3 linked regions of the Drosophila melanogaster genome follow. The protein of the gene in region 1 purifies or fractionates together with the protein of each later gene. This does not show direct contact. Each region holds a gene or a part of one and is shown on either strand. Other genes may lie near its edges.

The links.
Region 2: the proteins of CG10616 (region 1) and CG3288 purify together in Drosophila melanogaster (affinity purification with mass spectrometry, with the first as the bait; one large-scale study listed by BioGRID). This does not show direct contact.
Region 3: the proteins of CG10616 (region 1) and Ufsp2 purify together in Drosophila melanogaster (affinity purification with mass spectrometry, with the first as the bait; one large-scale study listed by BioGRID). This does not show direct contact.

Annotation. Positions count from the first base shown.
Region 1 is NT_037436.4:12,470,034-12,474,850, reverse strand, and holds CG10616 (uncharacterized protein), read right to left. Parts: upstream 3,124-4,817; 5' UTR 3,015-3,123; coding exon 2,922-3,014; intron 2,830-2,921; coding exon 2,655-2,829; intron 2,305-2,654; coding exon 2,214-2,304; intron 2,145-2,213; coding exon 2,019-2,144; intron 1,926-2,018; coding exon 1,878-1,925; intron 1,667-1,877; coding exon 673-1,666; 3' UTR 572-672; downstream 1-571. UniProt on the Drosophila melanogaster protein: May play a role in the trafficking of a subset of G-protein coupled receptors.
Region 2 is NT_037436.4:20,834,584-20,837,763, reverse strand, and holds CG3288 (uncharacterized protein), read right to left. Parts: upstream 1,583-3,180; 5' UTR 1,554-1,582; coding exon 1,244-1,553; exon of another isoform or gene 1,180-1,243; coding exon 809-1,179; 3' UTR 611-808; downstream 1-610.
Region 3 is NT_037436.4:15,574,827-15,579,207, reverse strand, and holds Ufsp2 (UFM1 specific peptidase 2), read right to left. Parts: upstream 2,639-4,381; 5' UTR 2,545-2,638; coding exon 2,506-2,544; intron 2,447-2,505; coding exon 662-2,446; 3' UTR 534-661; downstream 1-533. Other genes in the region: mrn (marionette), read left to right, coding at 1-256; dop (drop out), read right to left, coding at 3,455-3,654, 3,719-4,381. UniProt on the Drosophila melanogaster protein: Thiol protease which recognizes and hydrolyzes the peptide bond at the C-terminal Gly of UFM1, a ubiquitin-like modifier protein bound to a number of target proteins. Does not hydrolyze SUMO1 or ISG15 ubiquitin-like proteins.

The sequences.
Region 1 (4,817 bases):
TAGAAGTTGCAAAGGAACAAATTCGATTCTAATTTAGACAACCAAATAATTGTGTAATTAAAGTCTAAAGGCACGTACTAATTGAAAGTACTATTACTTACCACTTAATATAGTTACAATTCTAACTTGCCTAATGTACATAACTGAACTCTTAATGTTTTATGCTAAACAATTACTAATGAAATTATTAATTTCTTCTTTAAGGTTAATATAATTACGGTAGGCATAAGTTAAAACAGGAATCTGAGATTTAAGGTTGTAAAATAATTAATAAATTATAAATAAAAAGCCATATGAACTGTAAAAAGTTAAATTGCTGTAGCTTGACCACTAAAATACACTACAATTAACACTTAGATCCTCTTAAATGGAAATAGATAAGGAGAAATTCCCCTATAGGCGTACCAAAGAATCGCAGATATGTATATTACTTATTAGTTTATTATATTGGTGTTAAATGCTGCACAGTTTTGCTTCCACAATAAAACTATTTAACGTGATCCCTATACACATTCTTTTTTTTTTTACTACTACGAGTACACAATGAATTATAAAAACAAACGATCACAATAGAGAGGTGAGTGCGTGGGCACACATGCAATTAATGTATCTGTATAAAAACATTTCATATAAATTGGTTTATTGGTTCGGTCATCCCAGCATCCCAGCTGCCTACCGCTCGGCTAGGACAAAGTGAAGTGCCACGGAGGACAGGAGGACCAGCAGGGCCACTGCGATTCCCACCATGTAAAGGCTGCGCGAAAGTTCCGGCTTTGGCATCGAACTGGTCATAATCCCAGAATCGTCTATGCAATCAGCGTCCATCTTGCAATTGTTGAAGTGCGTATCATCCGGGAGTCCCTCTGCCTCCACGGATATGGTCTCTGGATCTAGATCCACGTCCAGAATCTGTTTAGCCTGGGCCACCACAACAGTTGGTGCCTCGCCACGGAATAAGTACTCGGAAAACTGAACTACTGCTCCGACCGACGCACTGGGACCCTCTGAAGGCAGGCTGAAGAACACACGTCTCGGCGGCTCACTAATGTACAGAGCTTCATTGGTCACATATGGATCGGTGAGTCCATCGCAGTACACTTGTATACGCGTTATCAGCGAACGGAGCACATCGTCGCGTAGGAAACGCTTAACATCTGCTATACTGTTTCGAGGATTGCAGAATACCTTTGAGGTAATAATGCCGCTCATGTGCAGCGTGCCACTAAATTCGCGCACCTTGATGTCCGTCGGTTTGCTCAGCTGGCATTTCATGGGGAGCACGATGCTCGCCCGGATGGTTTCAGTGCCTCCGATGATTCCTTCGGACGCAAGCCGCGGCAGGGAGTCAGTGGTGTTGCTCGAGGCAGTGGCCGTGCCACCTGTTGTCGATGTCGGTTGCAGCTTGTCCACTTTCGTCTTTTTCTTTTTGATATAGGCCTGCAGATCGATGGTGTCCTCGACAACTTCGTTTTGGAGGAATACTTCACTGGCGAGCAGGTTCTTGCGCACCGACACTATCATACTCTGGAACTGGTCTTCGATGTTGACGCGACGCGAGGAGTCCAGTATGGGCAGCACATCATCGAAATCGTAGCTGCACTCCAGCTGAATCCACTCGAAGGGTTTGTCCACAAACCGGAACTCCATATTGGTGAAAGTGCCGCCGCTATCAAAAGAAATACTCATATTATATTTAGGCTAGGAAAAGTCTGAATGTAATCAAACTACCATATAAACATGAACAATCCTAATGGTTAACTAACACATAAAATGCATTCCAAGAAATAAGAAACACAAGGACAAGGATAGCAAAGAAAGTGATTATTGAACATAGAACATAAGTTATGAAAGTACATAGTTCTCAACTTTTTAGTTACCATATGATGCATTTTATGTTTGCCGTAAAATACGTTTTTTTGCAATGTCTAGTTATAAATTGTAAGCGATTCGTTTGGTGAAAGAAAGAATACACATTGAGACCCGTATCTGTGATCAGGGATTACGTTTCCGATACTCACTTGCCATAGCTGTAGTTCTTGCAGAGCACTTTCTTGTCGGCCAGCGAATACGAGAGGAATACGAAATCAGTCTGTGCAATGTCGGTGGTGTAGACGCCAAACGAGCTGTTGCTTTTCAGGAGCAAACTGGAAAAGTAAGAAAAGAGGTCATTTCAAATGGAGACTCATATCATACTCATATAGTTAGTGACTTACTCGTAAATATCTGAAAACAGCTTTTTGGCATTCTTAAATTCGGCGCTCTGTTCGTTTACTACATCGGATCTTACTGAAGACACAAAGATTCCTGCAAAGATAAATAATTCATTAATAATTAATTCTAGATGGTAAGTCCTAAAGCTTCGCTTACTTTCATCTTAGTTAAGTACCTAAGTTTACATTACTGGTTTCACTACCCATTACTGATAGCTTAAAGATTTATCTATGACGAAAGATCAAAAGTTTCGAATTGACAGATTAAACAGTCAAATTGGGTGGGTTAGCCCATATACAAAACATACAAAAAAAAAGGGTTTGGCTAAATTTCGAATCCACGGGAGGAATACAAGGTCCCCATAAATAATATGCCTTAGCATTATGACTATGATTATTTCTGGGTAGGGCAGATAAAACTGCAGGGGCAGCACGCAAACCCACCGATGACGTCAAAAGATCCGGGACACATTTTGCTGGCGCTCAGCCACTGGGAGGCCAATGCCTGTGAGTTGATGTCCGAGATGGTGAGCCGGACCTCCGACAGGTCCTCCAGATCCGCATCCTCCTCGTTGTTCCTGGCCAGGTGGACCACCACGCTCTTGGTGAGATCCGCTTGCTATTTCAACCGAAGCGGATGAAACCAGGAGAAAGTGGAGATTCAGTTGAGCGGGGGAACCAAACAAAATCTACGTGGCGGATGGCACTTACATGGCCCACGATTATCCCGTACGAGAACTGGTTCTCCTGTGCGCATTTCTCCAGGTACAGCTCGTCGTGTTTGCTCAACAGCACTGTGCGCATCGTGGCTCTGGGGTTTCTGTTTACTTCGTAAATTTAATGTTAACTATATTCGTTCCGAAATGACAAATTTTTAGAGCTGGGTACACCCCCCACGATAGTAGCTGTAATCGAATACTTGCTATCGAGGCTAAATTTCGATAGTGAGCGATAGTGCTAAGCTATTCAAATTTGAATTCAATTGCTATTTATTTTCGGATTTTAAAAATAACGCCACAATCAAGTCCATTGACCTTAATTAAATGGTGTTTGGGAATTTATTTATTTTGAATGTGCCGACTATCGATACGCACCAGCTCTATGAATTGGTGTGACCGAAGGTTATATTTTAAAAGTATGGATTATGAGGTAAATTCTTATCGATATTTAACGAAGTTTATTTAAAAAAGCTTGCCATCTCTAGAAAACTGTTAAATTTAAAAATATATTCGAAATTTTAAAAAGTGTAATTAATAAAACAACATTACCCTTTTTTTTTACTAAGAATAACTACTAAATTTTACATGTTTGTCCAAGATTTATTTAAAAAGTGTTTCAAATACCATGTGCAACATCTAGATAATATAATATATATGTTTAACAGCTCCTGGCGAGGCATTTAAAAAAAAAAATAACATTCAATAACTGTATACGTATAAATACGTAAATATACCTTATTTAAATAACTCCCTGAATGTTTATACAAATTTTATGAGAATAGGCACACTTTACTTTTATCAATTAGAACATGATTGAATAGATTTATTTATTAATTTTAAGAAATTGACAAGCAGTAATTTAAAGAAGACTCTTTGATATAGGGTTGTTTATTATTGAAATGTAATTGCAGTTTACTTTTGATTTTTCTTTACGAATCGATAAAGTCCTTGAGTGTTTATTTTCCTAATCTTTAGACACTCGACTTAGGATATTAAGACTTAATTTACCTCCGCGACTGCAAAGCGATGAAAGTATGTATGTATGTACCCCCGTGGCAGGTTCTTCAATTAAGGCCCCCGGCTCCAGCAGCAACATAATCTCCATCTCCATCTCCCAATTCCGCTGCACTGCATCAGCTGCCGTGGGGCGATTACGCACGACGTCTGGCCGAAGAGCGGACCCCATGAGTACGGATCCGTGCCACCCAAATGGTCAAGTGGCCGGTGGACTATGGCGCGAACGGACGCGATCGGTAATCGAATTAGGTAAACAAACACTCCATAAGGCGGGCGTACGTTGATAATGTGTGCATAAGCAAATAGGAGACCGTATTGGGATTGGAATTGGGATTGGGATTGGGGCTGGAACTCTGCGCTGGACGGATGGATTGGATGGACTGCGATGGATGGGGAGATCTCGAGGAGCGGGTTGCGATTGCGGCGGCGATGACGGGCGAAAAAAAACTAAATGAAATTTCATTTAGGTGGTCGCCAACGGCTGCGGACCATCTGCTTGTGTGAATGCTTGATTGTTGAAGTGCCACTTGATGGGGCGAGGGCGCACGCTACTCGCGGGGATTACACTGGCCAAAATTGGGATCAAATGGTTACGAAATATGTATATACCATATATAACACTATTCCATAGAGACCATTGATTCAACTCTTTAAATATTGCTATAGATCTTGAGTAAACTAGTAAAAAAAAATCGTAAAAAATATTTTTAAAAATTTCAGACTTTAATTAAGAACTCTTACTGTCAAGTTAAGACAAAAAAATGTTGTAAGAAGATAATTCTGTTACTTTAAATTATCCCAGAAAACAATGGAATGAAAAATATCTCAGTGCTGAAAGGTTTCTTTGGTTGCTGAGCAATATGGGTCACCG
Region 2 (3,180 bases), 8.4 Mb from region 1:
TGGCGTCAAACAAATGCTTGGGGTCCCTCGTCTCGTGGAGGTGGCGAGATCTGGTTGGGGGTAGTGATTTCGGCAATTAGGCATGATAGCCAGGCTATCGACTCGGCCTGAAAAGCTTTTTATCTACTGATAACGAATTTCACAGTCACAATGATAAGACCCAAAGACCCGCGAACCCCACAAGTTAAGGTTGCGTGCCATGGGAGTAGGAAAATCCAATTGTTAGAAATTAAACTTGGAGCTTATATTAAAGTATCACCTTATAGTCCTATAAATATATTTTTGAAGACTCCCCACTCAGCCTTTTTTAAATCAAACACCAAACATATTAATGTAACGTGACAAACTTCTGTATGTGGAAAATTACCTAACGAGCTGTAAACTTTTGATTTGTTCAGCGTTGAAAGAATTCAAAGTATGTTTTGTTTTCTTAAATAGGTCATTAAATGCGGAATTCAGTTTATACATAGGGAATGGAAAATCGAAATTGTTATGGAATTTATTAATGGGAAAATAGGGCTGAAAATTTAAATTTCCTAGATCGAGTAGCTGGTAAATATATTTACCCAAAAAAGGAAGCTTAATTAACACCCCCTATAAGAACACACATGTGTGCGCCTCTGTTCCGCTGGCTTTCACCTTCGTTGTCACGCGATTATCGTAAACTAGCGTGAGCTCAGTGCCCGACCCACTGAACCAGCCGTCGACCCTGGAGCCTCCAGCTCATTGATCTTTGTATACAATTTAATAAAACTAGTTATACCGCGACCAAGCAGCCCAGAACAGACGACGTATACCCCCCTATCCTTTAATCCGGTATCCGGGAGTTCCGCCTTGAGGAACCAGGTCGGCAGGCGGCGGCGTTATCCGTACACCTGGCATCCTGGTTATCTCTGGCCTCCTGGATCACGTCGTCGAGGGTCAACTGGATACGACTGTCCGGCCTCGGGTCCGGCCGCCTTTGGTTACACTTGAGCATGACTTTGAGGCGCGGGATCTTGGAGAGGTGGTCATAGAACCGCACTATATGCAAGGACCCAGAAGGCCTCGGTTCAGAGGCAGCACACACGGGCTGATCCCGGCAGTTGCACAAGAAACTGATGGCCTTCCGGCTGGAACTAACATCGAACTCGGCGCTGACCAGGTAGCAGGGCTCCAGGGAGAGCACTATACGCATCACTAGAGGAAGAGAGTCCGGGAGGAAGAGTAGGCCGAGCAACTGTCTCACTGGCACTGATCTTACCCGAAGAGGTCTCCAGGATCTGTGACCGGTTCTGAATCCAAACTGACCGTAAGCTCGGCTGATTGGAACGTGGGCTGCGGAGCGAGCTGTCCAGGTATTCCCGTATGGTCATCGCATGATTGGAGTGACGCAGTCCCAGGAGCTGTTGCCGTGAGTTGCCGGGCAAGGCGGCCAGAGGCAGGTTGTCGTAGACGGAGACATAGATCTTGTGGCTGATATAGACCACCACGAAGCACAGGATGACGATGAGCAGTCCGATAAGCAGGTAAGTGAACAGTGTCGGTATAAAGAAGATGGCGTCCAGAAACATGGGGTCGCTGATCCGGAAGTGCTAACTCACTGACAGAATACGCAAATCTACAGAGAGGGTTACGGGAATCCATGGGAGGATCTTCGAATCTCTTGGTTTTTGCAACATCTATGTAAATGTATTTATTTCGTAGTTTCTGTATTTTTTTATTGTTTATTTTTTGTTGTTTGTTTGTTGTCAATTTTTTTATGGATTTCTGCCTTGTTTTTTACATACGATTTTACATTGATAATATTATGCTTGTAATTTAATTGTATTCCACTCGATCTCCTTGCCTCCACTGCCTGCACGTCGGCTTAAAGTTGATTTTTCCGTGACCTCAAAACGATTTTGCCTTTTATTTTCGTTTCTGACCCGCCGGCGGGTTCCATCTACGCCCAAATGGGCGTGGCCTGCACACGGCGCAGACCCCTTACAAATGTTCTACATAGGCTCAACCTTTAGCATTTTGCATTTTGCTCATTTTCTAACAGTGTCTCATAGCTGAAATATTAGCACAGATATTTTCGATTTAAGCTTCTGGTCTGTAAAAATGTCAAAATTTTAGCTTTATCTCAGTATGTGTGCATTTCAAAATCGCATTTTCCAGTTATGACTTCATGTTTGAGAGGAGGTGGATGAGTGTGTGCGCGTGTGATGTAGCAACAGCTGTAGATAATGTTTCATGATCTATCGAGCAGATATAAGCTTTATAAATATATACACACAAATGTTCTTGTTGGCTGCGTTTTTTTCTGAGTGTTGTAAATGCAACTTCTCGTTTGGGCAATATTCATTAGTTCACACAGATACACACGCACACTCACCCAACACACAGGCAAACCCATGCTATCCGATATAAATTGTTGCAGTTATCTTCTCGTTAGCTGGCAGTTTTGGGAAATGCCTAGTACATTAGTTTTGAAACTTTAGAGGTATTCCAAGAAATGTGTATAATCAATCAATTTTAATTTTAAATTTTCAACTATCATAACGTGATTAAAAAGTATTGTATGGCTTTTTTTTAAAGCCCAAAACTCCAAAATTACAGTCTTACAATATAAGAAAATAAAACAACTTTCTAAACTTGACATATGTACATTTTTGAAGAACGGAAATACCTCTTTGATAACAGTTAAACTAGGCATTCGCTGTGCTCAAGCTTAAATTAGTTAATAAAAAATCATAAAACTATGTTAAGATTACAAAACACCTTTCGATGAAGAAACAAGAAACATGTTAAAAAATCATGAAGTTTTCACTGATTTTAATGTTTAATTGAAAAGTTTACGCTCGCTGACTTCACGTGGTACGCGTTTACTTGTAAGAATAATTTACTAAAATTAAAATTAAAATGGTTAATTAATTGCTGCCGTTGTGCTTTTGTTCTAGACAAAAAACAACGAATCATACAAGCAAAATACCATTGTTTCATTCAAGTCCTATCATTTCCATGACTTCATGCCTCGTATGAGAGTGTGTGAGTTGGTGTGTCTGTGTTTTGTGCCTGTGTGTGTAGCCTTTTATGATTTAAGTTATTACACATATATTCATCTTGTTTATTTCTTTTTTTAAAAACATTCAGATGTCTGTTGGATATTTAATGAAACGTTTTTGAGGAGGCAGCATGTCCCATAGATTATACAAA
Region 3 (4,381 bases), 3.1 Mb from region 1:
TAAATCCTGCCTGCCACCCACAGTCGTTGATCAAATTAAGCTGTGGGAATTAGAGCGAAATCGCTTCACCTACACCGAAGGCGTGCTGTACAATCAGTTCCTCTCGCATACAGATTTCGTAACGCTACGAGACTACGCCCAGTCGATCCACATGCTGGTGTGGCAAAATGAGCGAACTCGCACAATGGTGGTGCAAAAGAATGGCCACGACGATGTCAAGCGTTACTGGAAGAAGTACTCTAAGAGTGGTGTTTAGCCCGGTATTACGACCAATTATTGGGAAGTTATTTTAGAAGTAACATCTGTGCCCATTTTGTTACAAGCTAAAATTTTAAAATATGGTTTAATAAGGGAGTGTGGGATTACACATTTATCATCGACATTCAACATACAAGTGGAATAAAATTAAAATACACAAGTATCATACACATAAAAACAGAAAACCACCAAAGCTTTTCCTAGATTGTCCTTTAGGATGGGTCGACATGTAATATTGCTAAACGTAAAAAACAGTGAAGAGACAACTAACAAATGCATACAAAATAATTTTATTTACCCAATAAAATAGAAAATTTAGAATGTCCTATACGTTATACCTAAAGAAAGCATATCGAAACATCCTCGCCTACCTAAATGCGAGTGGAAAAGAAACTAGCTCAACCTAATACAAAATGGGACGCTGGGGCATGCAGAGATTGTAGTAGCTGCCCTTGGCCCAAAAGTCCATGCCCTTCCAGCCGCACCAACCTTTAATTTGAATGGTGGCCAAATCATCGGCACCTGTATAATGGGGATCCAAGATGAGGAACTTCACCTGACCCGTCTGCACGCAGTAGTCCACCCCGATAATGGTGTGGGCCAGAACACCGCCACCAATCATTACCGGTGTACCTTGCGTTTGGAAATGCATCGCCAGCTCGGAGGCAATAGTCGCCAGCTCAGCTCCAGAGGCTACGTGCAGAATTTTTGAGTCCACGTTAAGGAATCCCTGCAGACACATGCTGATTTCTGTGGAACCAATCCACTGAGAAGAACCCACGAATGCAGCAGGTTTGTCGTTGATCTTGTGAAGGTATTCCTGCACCTCCAGATGCGTCGGAATCGGTGCGTTCGTATAACCCTGCAGCACAAACCAGGAGCAGATCGTCTGCAGCGAGCGATATGCGCATCCCCATCCCTTGTCCTGCACCTGCTGTTGCAGGTAATGATAGTAATGGTAGTTACCATTTACTAAGTACTCTTTGCCGTCGACAACTCCACTGGGACGTAATCCGATGTGGGTATTTAGCAGCGGAGTCCATGGTGCGTCCTCCGTTTCACCTAGGAAAAGCATCTGGTTGGCCCTGCGGAAATAAGGACGACTGATGGGCAAAGCAAACTGTCGATGCAGGCGCTTGCGTCTCATTAGCATGCTTGGTGTATCGTCACTCAGACCTTCCAGATAGGCGCAGCTCACGAAGTGACCAAACTCTTGTGGGTAGAAGTGATAGCTAGCGGGCACCAGCAGCTTTCCACTTCCCGACTCCGTGAGATGCTCAATCAGGCTCAGTTCGAACAATCTGAGACCTCTGCAGATGCTCTCGATGAGTACGTCGTATAGCCGTTGGAGCTTCGTTTTGCGGCAGAGAATGGCCATGGCTTCGATCTCTAATGGTACCTGGACTCGGATCTGTTCCTCATTGGTCACAGCAATGCTGAGTGCCGGATGAGGTGGCTCTCCGGACACGGGATCACGACTGCGCGAGCGCATCACATCGATGGGGATCACCTCGTAGTCGCAGCCAGTCGGAGCCAGTCTCTTGACTGGCGTGTTCTGACCTTTAAGCTTCTTTTTGTCGACACTGGCAGTCTCCTTTTCATGTCCTGGAGTTGGAATGACGTCTATAAGATCCTGAATTTGGGAATCGCCGCTAAACTGTTTGTCCAGTGGCCCGTAGTTATTAATGAAAATCTTTGTCTGCGGAACGTTAAACACTAGATTTCCGTCGGCTACCCTTTTGCGCAGCACATGCATTTCCCGGGCCACGGATTCCGGTGTGGCGGCCGTTTGCAGAAAGAATCCGCACTGCAGCCGGGTGAAGCAGAAGTCGTTGTACAGCTGATGTGCCTCCATAACCTCGTAGGGTACCTCCTCCAGTTTTCCATGGACGAAAAACGAGGCCCGCAAGCCCACCAAGGTGCCCAATTCGCATTGCAGTAGGATGGGATTATCGGTGATATCCACAGATTTGATGACCTCATTAAGGTGCGCCTCTCCATCGGTGCAACCACCAAACTTGACCAGTCCGCATAAATCCAGTTCCGCCGGGAATCTGTGTTGGATCTGCTCGTAGTTCAGTTGTCCCAAACTGGACTCAATGTTGAAGCTCAGTAGGAGTAAGGTACCTTCTCCATAGAAAACTCCAAACAAGCATCCACTGCACTGCTGCTTTGTTCGCTCCAGGCGCTAAAATTGGTGAAACCGCGTAAACGATATATGGTTAAATAAACGATTTATAGTCTCACCTTCAACAGGAATGCGGATATTTTTAGTTTGGGTAGCATATTTCTGATAAATGTATGAAAATAAAATAAAGTAACACGGCCACCCACCCGAGTAAATGTTGCTCAGCTGGCAATTTTTTATCGATAACTGAGTGTCTGTATGGTATTTTCCTATCGACATACATATGTATATTTATTGGAAAGTTTGAAAATGAATTCAAATAAATTGTTTGGATAGAAATGTATGCATTGACATTTTGGTAGGATTTTAGGTTAGAGATTCATTGGTTTAATTATTAAAATGTGAGCCAACGTTTTATATAATAGTCCATTATTTCCAATATATATACATATGTATTTGCTGCGACAGTTTTCCATCTGCACAACTAATTAAAAAGTTCATTCAAGTACACACACATATAACATTTATTTAATATATATTTTATATTGAATTCGGCATAGTGTATAGATTCGCAAAAATGTTATAAACGCAGCCCAACACCGCGCCACTGGCTCCATGACTCTCCCATCGACTATCATCCATAGTCCACAATTCGTTAATTCTATCAATGTTACACATTTATATACAGTACATAATTGCGTGGTGCCTCTTATATTTGCTTCAACTGGAATATCGTGCTCCTTCTCGATTTGCTTTCGTGCCTACTAATTTACATTAAGAGTTTTCAAGCGGTTTTGTTTTGTTTGCCTTTAGTTAGGACATCTACAAACTACTAGGCTTTAGAATTTTCTAATTAATTTCATTGCTAAATTGTATGATTTGCGCAAAAACAGAAGCTTACTTAGAGAAAAAAAGTTTAAAACGCAACCCCCCGCTCTACAGATATATATTGAATTCCTGCGGCCTTCCATTTCCTGCCCACCATCCGCGCCCATTCTCATCACGAATAACTATTTAATCGCGAAACTTAAAACACAAGCATCCATATCCACCGCGGCTACTCTGGCGCTACTTCCTCTGCTTGGCAGCAGAAGTGGCTGCAGATCCTCCTGATCCAGAGGATCCTCCACCGGTCACAGCCGATGTATCCTTGCGTGGTGCTGTGGAGATGGTCACGCTTGGACTGGCGGGCTTTGTCGTTGTCATCGAAGTTTTACAGCCACTGTTGTGGGGCTTAGTTTTGGGCGTTCCAGGAGTTGTGGTTTTACCTAAAAGTGAGGAAGCAAAGAAATGTTAAGTATTTGTTTTTTTCTTTGGCGTTAAATCCATTACCCTGGTCGACCTTCTTGCTTTTGCCAGCAGGCTCCATCTCTGGCTGCTCAGTGGCCTTTACCTTTGTCGGCTTTTCCAGGGTTTGAGTGGGCGAAGATGAGGATTCCCCCTCCGCAAACTCTTCGATAGCAGGCATAAATCCCTCGGACACACTGCTGCTGTCTTGGGTACTAGTGGGCGAATCCTTCTCCTCGGCAATACGCGGTAAAGGTTCACAATTGGCCAGGGTAACCACAGCGGTGGCACTTGGGTCAGTTCCGGCAGCGGTTGTGGAGACCACTGTTGCCATAGCAGTTTGTCTTTGAGATTCCTCAGAAGCGGCAGGCACCAACTGCAGGGGTTGAACTGAAGGAGCCCCCAAAACTGCTCCTCCAGCTCCCGATGCACTGCCGCCAGGCGTCGACCTCCAAGTCGTGGTCACCACTCGTTGGTGGGTCGGCTGTTTGATAGGCGGCGAACAGCATAGTGGCGATATCTTTGTCTCCGCGCTACGGGGATGCAAGCGATCCGGAGACAAGGCGCGCCTTAGCAGCGGAGAACTAGGTTCCGCTGACTTGGTTCGTGCAAATCCTGCCTTCTTCGTGTTTGCGTTCACCGCCGTCTGCAACGTGGGCAGCGTGCTTCCCGGACTATAAGATTGTGTGGTGTTTGAGGCACCGGGCT